Linked DNA regions of Arabidopsis thaliana. The protein of the gene in region 1 interacts with the protein of each later gene in a pairwise test. Each region holds a gene or a part of one and is shown in the gene's direction. Other genes may lie near its edges. The genes, in order: UBC11 and MUB4.

Region 1 (4,298 bases):
GTAATAGCCTTCTATGCGGTGCTCCTCTGACTCCATGCCCAGAAAACACCACTGCACCATCTCCTTCACCGACAACACCAACAGAAGGTCCTGGTACAACCAATATAGGTCGTGGTACCGCCAAAAAAGTTCTCTCCACTGGTGCTATTGTGGGCATTGCAGTTGGAGGTTCGGTTCTGTTGTTTATCATTCTTGCCATCATAACCCTTTGCTGTGCCAAGAAAAGAGATGGCGGGCAAGATAGCACCGCAGTGCCAAAAGCTAAACCCGGGAGGAGTGACAACAAGGCTGAGGAGTTTGGGAGTGGGGTGCAAGAGGCGGAGAAGAACAAGCTGGTCTTCTTTGAAGGAAGTTCATATAACTTTGATCTTGAGGACTTGCTCAGAGCCTCGGCTGAAGTTTTAGGGAAAGGAAGCTATGGCACAACGTATAAGGCCATCTTAGAGGAAGGAACCACGGTGGTGGTGAAGAGACTGAAAGAAGTAGCAGCTGGGAAACGGGAGTTCGAGCAGCAGATGGAAGCCGTGGGAAGGATCAGTCCACACGTGAATGTAGCTCCTCTCCGTGCCTATTACTTTTCAAAAGACGAGAAGCTACTCGTGTATGATTACTACCAAGGGGGCAATTTCTCCATGCTGCTTCATGGTAATATGATGTTTTACATGTTACTCAAGGTTATAAAAAGTGGCTTTAAAGTAACACTTTAGATGAATTCTATGCAGGAAACAATGAGGGAGGAAGAGCAGCGTTGGACTGGGAAACAAGGTTAAGGATCTGTTTGGAAGCTGCGAGGGGAATTTCTCACATCCATTCTGCATCTGGTGCTAAACTCCTCCATGGAAACATCAAATCACCAAATGTCCTCTTAACCCAAGAACTTCATGTCTGTGTCTCTGATTTCGGTATAGCTCCATTGATGAGCCATCACACCTTGATCCCATCAAGAAGCTTAGGTTACAGAGCACCCGAGGCCATAGAAACACGGAAACATACCCAGAAGTCCGACGTATACAGCTTTGGTGTACTGTTGCTAGAAATGCTGACTGGGAAAGCAGCAGGGAAGACTACTGGGCATGAAGAAGTGGTGGATCTGCCAAAGTGGGTGCAATCAGTGGTGAGAGAGGAGTGGACTGGAGAAGTGTTTGACGTAGAGCTGATCAAGCAGCAACACAACGTAGAGGAAGAAATGGTGCAGATGTTGCAGATAGCAATGGCATGTGTGTCTAAGCATCCAGATTCTAGGCCTTCAATGGAGGAAGTGGTTAACATGATGGAGGAGATTCGACCTTCAGGGTCCGGTCCTGGTTCTGGTAACAGAGCCTCCTCGCCGGAGATGATCAGAAGCTCTGATAGCCCGGTTTAGATTGGTTTTAAATTCTCTTTCTCTCATTCTCAAATCATTATTTATTTTTGCTTTTCCTTCTTCTTCTTCTTCATAAACCGTTTATTTTAGTTCTCTATGTCTGACTGCATAATTTATTCCAATCAATATCTGGAATTGTAGTGTAATTGAAACCCTCACCATGAATGGTTGTAGTTCTTAGATTGGTTATAAGTGTGCGACTAGTTTTGAATTTTCATTTGTTGTTGTATGATTCGTTTAAATTAAATCACAAGAGTCTTTGGGTGTTTGAAAATCTAACTGAAATAGTGATACAATTATATGTGAAATTTATCGTCTCAAAAAGATAAACTACATGAGTAAATAAATAAAAATAAAATCATTGCTCTGTATTTTTTGACTGCATGAGTCCTAATTGGTGAAATAAAAAAACTTTTGGCACGAGAATTAATAAATATATAGAAAAGGTGAAATAGGTGAGGCGGTACTTGCTGATAGAATCAGAAGCTTCGAGACTGACTTGTTTTAGATTCTCTGACTATAAAGAAAGGCAAAGTAACAAGTTTCGTTTTCTCCTTTGCACTCCATTTTTATTCTCGATTCTCTTCTCTCCCGATAAAGAAGCTCTCGCTTTGTGTTGTCCGTCCTTCTTCCAGGTCTAATTCCACCATTTCTCTTTGGTTAAACCCTAATTTCTTTCTCTCCCGAATCGTCCTCTGTTTTTGTTTTGCGCGATTAGTTTCCACCGCTTAATAATAGGGTTTCCGATCACTTACGTTTTGTGTTGTTTTGTTCGGTCTCTGGTTCTTCCACTGTGATCTGTTTTGTTCTTAAGTTGATTGTCTTAAGTTATATCCTCTGTTCAATAATATTCTGGTCTTGTTGGGGGTTTCCACAGGTTTTCTCGTCTCTGACGCATGGCTTCTAAGAGGATCTTGAAGGAGCTCAAGGATCTGCAGAAGGATCCTCCTTCAAACTGCAGCGCTGGTAATCTCCCTTTTCTAATCTGATTTTAACCAATTACTTACCTGGCACTAATGACTCTGAATTAGGTTCCTTACTCTCTCACTAGATTGATGTAGGTTAGGGTATCAAGTATCATACTTTATTTCCTCAATCCATGTTATGCTTCTGATTTTTTTTTTGGTAAAAGCTTTGGTTTGCTAGACTCTTTGATTAACGCTGATCTCATGGATTTTGTTGTCTGTTATGCACTTCATATTTACCCTTTCCTGTCCTGTATTTGACAAGTATCCAGAACTCTGCATGGTTTTGAGTTTATGTCAAAGTGTCTCCTTTTGTAGCTCCTGCTAATATGTCTTTATTGATGTAATTTTGTTGTCACGTTGTTTTAGGTCCGGTGGCTGAGGACATGTTCCATTGGCAAGCCACTATCATGGGACCTCCTGAAAGTCCGTATGCCGGAGGAGTGTTTTTGGTTTCTATTCATTTCCCTCCGGATTATCCTTTCAAGCCACCAAAGGTAATGTGTTGTGTTATGAGACTCTTTATGATTCATCGGTTTTTATCATTGATCTTATGATGTGAATCCATCGATCTTGCAGGTGTCTTTTAAGACTAAGGTGTACCATCCAAACATCAATAGCAATGGAAGTATTTGCCTTGATATTTTGAAAGAGCAATGGAGCCCTGCTCTTACTATCTCTAAGGTTCGAGTTTGTGTATCTCTACTCCTACCATTTTAACACAAATTATGTTACTATCTTAGCCAATTTTGTGTGTTAACGCGAGCGATATTGATGCTGTGGAAATTAGGTTCTGTTGTCGATTTGCTCGCTGTTGACTGACCCAAACCCAGATGATCCTCTTGTGCCGGAGATAGCTCACATGTACAAGACAGATAGATCCAAGTACGAGTCAACTGCGAGAAGCTGGACACAAAAGTACGCAATGGGTTGATGATATAAGACAAAGCAAAGGATATGTTATTGCGCATCGGAATAAAATAATAACTTAAAAAAAATGCACTTGTTTGGTTTATCAAACGTTAGCAAGTATCGAACAACTTAGCTGCTCTTACTCCTCTTCTGTTCTGATCACTATAAACTAGTATTAATTTCGATTGTTGGGTCTACTTTTATTCTCTTGTTTCCCTCTCCTCACTTGGTTGCAGGAAACTGCAATTCTAATCGCCCCAAACGCAATGTTTGGACTGTTTTGGTACACTCTTGACATAAGGGGTTCCAATCTACACATGGATCAACCACAACCAAAACCAAACCAACTATGAGCCTTCCATAGTTAGGATTATACATTGCTCCCAAATACAAAACTCGTTCCTAATCTTCTATTAACTTATACCAAAGTTGGTATATTTATGATTAAATTATTGATTTTCTTAATTTTTTTAATATATTTCAAAAGTGTACATGGTTCTAATAAAACACTTAAGAAATTTTCCATATTGTTTACAATAGCTGTTTTAGGAAATATCATATCTATAGACCAAACCAAGAATATCTTTAGACCAAACCAAGAATAGGTGTTTTAGAAAATAAACATATCTTTGGTTGCAATTTTCCAATATCATCCGCCATGGGTCCCTACTAATAGGTCAGGCGGTACTTGCCGACAGAATCAGAAGCCTCGAGACTGACTTGTATTCTCCGACTATAAAAAAGAAGTAGAGGGTTTTAGGCTTTTCACGAATCTCTTCTCTCTTTTGTAGTGGCCTTGAAAAAAAGATTCAATCTCCTGTTGTGGTATGTTTCTTTTGATCCATCTTTCCTTTATGTTTTCTGTTTCAACTACTTCTTAGGGTTTATCATCACTTACGTTACGTATGTATTGTTTTATTCGTCTTCCTCTATGATATGTTATGTTCTTAGTTGAATTCCTTAATACTCATTGTGTGTTGCTTATCTCGTCCGCAGGTTTTCGAGTCTAAAAGCATGGCTTCTAAGAGGATTTCAAGGGAACTGAGGGATATGCAGAG
Region 2 (4,861 bases), 7.3 Mb from region 1:
CTAATTTTTGTCACTACATTTCTGATTACTGGGACTGGTCTTTATATTAACTGCTTGTAGATATATTACACTTCTTTACTTGTAGGATAGAGAAGATCCAATTCTTGTTCAAGCATCCATTTGAAGTTGTTTTCACTATCTTACTTCTTGAGCATTGCTTTAAATAGGACACGCCCCTGGGCCAGCGGTGGTGAAGGAGTTGCAGGGACAACATGTCATATTGAGAGACTGCATCGAACAGCTAGGGGCAATGGAGACATCCAGAACAAGTCTTATCTCACATTTGAGAGAAGCTTTACAAGAACAGGTTTACATTTATACATTTTCTTTCAAAACAACATCTTTCATTGCACCGGCCAGAAACCTCACCTTGTTTTTGTTTTTGTGTCCAGGAACTCAAGCTGGAGCAAGTCCGTAACCACCTTCAGGTTTGAATACTTACCAACAAATGTGATATTTGTTCCTCAGACATTTTATACATTTCAATTTACACAATACATCATAACGTTCTCAATAGTACTTTCCGAGACATGCTGGTCTAGCTTCAAGCTTGTTTAGTGAATTTGTTCAAGGAAGATAGACCCAAATCTAATTAGGGTTCTTGGTTGCCTTTCCAAACAGAATGTTGCCTTGTCTTTATGCTATTTAGTTGAATTGATTTCATTTGTGCTACGATTTCAGATTGCTCGGTTTCAATCAGACCGAACTGGTGATCTCTGCAGACAGCTTCTAGACCATGGTGGTAGTTCACAGCCTCCTGCTACAGAAGAAGAAGAGTCAAAAGAAGTTATCAAAGTTTCATCCACTGCAGCAGCACCACAAAGCTTCACACACAGCGATGTGGAACAATCTGCACCAGTTATGTTTGCCTCAAACCCAACTCAATCGCTGGAAGACCCAAGAAAAACTGCTGCTGCTGCAGTGGTAGCTAAGCTAACTGCTTCAACTTCCTCAGCCGAGATGCTCTCCTATGTTCTCTCCTCCTTAGCCTCCGAAGGCATCATCGGAAACAACAACCCACCTGCTGTAACAGAAACTCTATCATCCGTCGATTTCCCACCAGAGAAAAGACCTAAGCTTCAAAATCATGACCAGTCGTATCTCTCACCGCACCATCAGAACACTGCAACAACATCATCCTCCACACCCCCACAACCGCTTCCACCACCACCACCATTCCAGCTTCAACCTCAGTTTTTGCAGCCGTTACAGCCTCCCGGGCCAGTAAACCACACACCATTCAACTACACCATAGCAACCTCTACTGCAACCACTCAGCAACAACAACAAGAACAAGGTCCTTGGGTACCTGGGCTCACTCAACTTTCAACAACCTCTGCTCCATCGGAGAATTCATACCAGAAGTTTCAGGGACAAGATGGTTTCTATGGCATTAACTCATCTGTGCCTATTACACCTGTCACTCGCCAGTAGTGTAAATCTGTTCGTAGGGGTTCATATAGCAAAAAGTTCACTTTTTTTTTTGGTTTTTTTTTGTTAAATATAGTTTCAATGGGCTTTTGATAATTAGGATTTTATGTTCTTAAAATGTGCTTTGTATGCTTTCTAATTGTGCGTCTAATCCAAGGTTTCAACTCTGTAAACATATCATAAAAATCCTTTGTTTTGCTCTGAGATTTTACTATTGTTGGAAGATTCTATAGATTTTCAAATTTTCTTGTTCCTCTCTTTGAAATTTACATGGAAGTCAGATTTGGACCAAAGTGATTTGTTGCTCGTCTTTTAAAGTCTTCTGGTCAAAACGCCGACAAGGCTTTGCTTTTGACTAATAAAGAAACATACTTTTCCACAATTTTCTTGTCTTTTTATCTTATTTCCTTACTCGTCAGGGATTCCCTGTAACGCGGCAATCCTGACGAAAGACATATCAGAAACTTTGATAGAATCACATAGCAGCAATCTCTTAGCTGGATTTTACCAGCTTCACTTTGAGATTAGGTCATTTACCCTTTTAAGGGTTTCTCTCCTACTTTCTTGATTCTCTTCATTCCCAAGACTCAAAACCTAGCAAACTTGGACATTTGGATTGAGTGTCTCTAGTCCGGGTAAGATTTGTGTGTTGTGGTAACTTTATCTGACGGTTTAGGAGCTTAGGTTGCTTAGATGAGTTCCAAGTTTTTATTTTTCTTTTGCTTATTGTTCTTCTTGTTCCTTTGGTCCAAGTTCTTGATTTGGACAGTAACTGAAAATTTCCTAATTGATTCCTTTAAGTTTGACTGTGCTCTTATTACTAGTCTTCTCTAAATATTTTTGTTCTTTGCTTCGACAATTTCATTGATGCTTTGAATTTGAGAATCTCTCTGTCCTCTTATTATTATAGGTCTCATTTGGGTGGATTCTTTCTGGTGAAATCTTTCTTGTGAGAGTTTTGTATTGGGAGAAAGAGATAATCAAATGCCGGAGGAAGATTTGGTAGAACTGAAATTCCGGTTATATGACGGTTCAGATGTTGGCCCGTTTCAGTACTCTCCAACCGCCACAGTGTCAATGCTTAAGGAGAGAATTGTCTCTGAATGGCCTAAAGGTTAGCACCGAGCACAATCTTTTGGTTTGTTTTTCGGCTAATCCGTGAAAAAGAAGTAAAAATGCGATAGAAGTGCTCTTTAATGCTTTAGATTTGGCTTTAGAACGTTTGCTTCAGCCATTTTTTTTTTTCTTCAGTTTCTTCACTTGTGGCTTGATAGACAAAGTTCAGACATAAGTCATAGGATCTGATTGACTTACTAATCATTTGTCTTAAAGTAGGAACAGAAGAAGGAAGTTAAACTATTGATCTTTTAAAAGGTTACTCGATCTTGTGATCTATGTTTTAACAGTTTCTCCACTTGTGGTATAGGCTTTTGAATTGGTCTGATTGTATTACTAATCACTTGTCTTATACTACAAATCATGTCTTTAGAGACTATAGGGACGAATACTGTTCTGGTTCTTTTTAGTAGAATTTCTTGATCTTACTCTTCAGTCTTGTGCATTCAACAAAAAATTGAATTTGTCTCATTTTGTTTCCTATTGTATCTTATTGACTAATCGAATTTGGGGGTTTTGAATGTGTGTAGACAAGAAGATTGTTCCAAAATCAGCTAGTGACATCAAGTTGATAAATGCTGGTAAGATTTTGGAGAATGGTAAAACTGTTGCACAGTGTAAAGCTCCATTTGATGATCTCCCTAAATCCGTCATTACAATGCATGTTGTCGTGCAACTGTCTCCAACAAAAGCAAGACCAGGTCTTGTTCTTTCTTATCTCCGTAAATCTTGTTTGTGGAATGAATTCTTTAGCCTAATATCTTGTTTTTTCTTTCTCTTACAGAGAAAAAAATCGAAAAGGAAGAAGCCCCACAGAGAAGCTTTTGCTCATGTACCATAATGTGAGAACAACAACAAGTCCCAAGTCAAAAAATCTGAAAGAGTTAAGTTTTGATTCTCTGTGGTATTTGCTAAAAGACCATATAAACATAAACTACCGCTTCATATTCGACATTTTCTTCACAAGTTCAAAGAAACCTTCATCTATGGCGTTATAAAGCTAGTCTATTAGAGTTGTTTCTCTTGAGCTGTGATGGAAAAACTCTTGTTTGGAGCATCCTTTATAAAGATAAGAGTTTTGTTACCGCGAACTAATTCAAGTATCTCTGTAACATATCTTGTATGGTTTTGTCAATCTTTAGTACATTTTAGACCTGGTTTTTTTCTCTATCAGGATCCGCCCAAAACTGTATCCAAACATCTTTATCCAGTCCATTACCTACAGTGAAAACGAGTACTAAACGTTTGCAGTTTGGTTCTTGAGTGGCAAACACTTTGATATGTTACTATATGGTCCATACCTTTCTCATCATTTTCCACTTCCACAAAGCCAATGTTTTGGGGATGTAGGTAGATACAAACCTCCAAAAGAAACAGAGAGCATGAGATCTCAATAAATGTCCTTTCACCTAACTTATCACTGTCTCCCACTTAATTCTCTCATTTATAACCTTCACTTTCACTTAGTGTCTCTCCACTATCTTGTCTTGTTTCGCCTTTAATTCTATTCCTCTCCTCTGGCTCTCATTTATAATCTTCACTCCAAATGCACCTTTCTTTGTACTCCCATCACTTTCTCTTCGATATGGTATTTACTTTAATCCGATTCGAATATTGTAACTATGAAAAACAAAATGAATAGTAAAAATATCCGTTTCGTATCCAAGCCTATTTTTAAAAGACACGTTTGTATAACTCTCTCTATATATAGAAAGGAACCACGAAGCTCTTTCAAGAGAGTTCTATTCTTGTCTGAAAACTAGTTCCCTATATTTCTTCTTTCTTCACACACATATTCTCCAATTCTTACATAAATATCAAATAAACCAAACTTGAAACTTGTTGTGCTTAAGATGACGAAGAAATCACTGACAATGTTTCTTTTTATACTTCTGCAATTTCTGCTCGTAAACTCTCTATCTTCAAAGCATTCATCACCCAAACCAAAACCAGATGCAGAAATCACTATAATGGGTTTTGTTTACTGCGATGTTTGCTCCAAAAACAGTTTCTCTAAACACAGTTACTTCATGTCCGGTAGTAACTCAGAACAAAAAGATCTCTTTAATTAATTCCCTGCAAAAACTCTGTTTCTTAACGTTTCTTTACACAGGTGTGGAAGTGAGGATAGTCTGCCGATTCAAAGCAGCTTCGTCAACAACGACAGAGACTATAACATTCTCTGCAAACAGAACCACCAACGAGTTTGGACTGTACAAGGTAGCCATATCTTCTCTAGATTGTGCTGATGTGGACAGTCTCGCGAGTTCTTGTCAAGCGAGTTTGATTGGAAGAAAAAACTTCTCCGATTCTT

What was found.
Region 2: the proteins of UBC11 (region 1) and MUB4 interact in a two-hybrid assay, tested with the Arabidopsis thaliana proteins (one study listed by BioGRID).

The regions. Positions count from the first base shown.
Region 1 is NC_003074.8:2,639,228-2,643,525, forward strand, and holds UBC11 (ubiquitin-conjugating enzyme 11), read left to right. Parts: upstream 1-1,784; 5' UTR 1,785-1,998; exon of another isoform or gene 1,999-2,138; intron 2,139-2,240; 5' UTR 2,241-2,259; coding exon 2,260-2,329; intron 2,330-2,697; coding exon 2,698-2,825; intron 2,826-2,907; coding exon 2,908-3,012; intron 3,013-3,118; coding exon 3,119-3,262; 3' UTR 3,263-3,692; downstream 3,693-4,298. Other genes in the region: AT3G08680 (Leucine-rich repeat protein kinase family protein), read left to right, coding at 1-645, 723-1,363; UBC12 (ubiquitin-conjugating enzyme 12), read left to right, coding at 4,255-4,298. UniProt on the Arabidopsis thaliana protein: Accepts the ubiquitin from the E1 complex and catalyzes its covalent attachment to other proteins. Mediates the selective degradation of short-lived and abnormal proteins.
Region 2 is NC_003074.8:9,944,999-9,949,859, reverse strand, and holds MUB4 (membrane-anchored ubiquitin-fold protein 4 precursor), read left to right. Parts: upstream 1-1,775; 5' UTR 1,776-2,066; intron 2,067-2,341; 5' UTR 2,342-2,415; coding exon 2,416-2,545; intron 2,546-3,077; coding exon 3,078-3,248; intron 3,249-3,331; coding exon 3,332-3,393; 3' UTR 3,394-4,104; downstream 4,105-4,861. Other genes in the region: AT3G26990 (ENTH/VHS family protein), read left to right, coding at 168-307, 393-428, 682-1,434; AT3G26960 (Pollen Ole e 1 allergen and extensin family protein), read left to right, coding at 4,401-4,584, 4,661-4,861. UniProt on the Arabidopsis thaliana protein: May serve as docking site to facilitate the association of other proteins to the plasma membrane.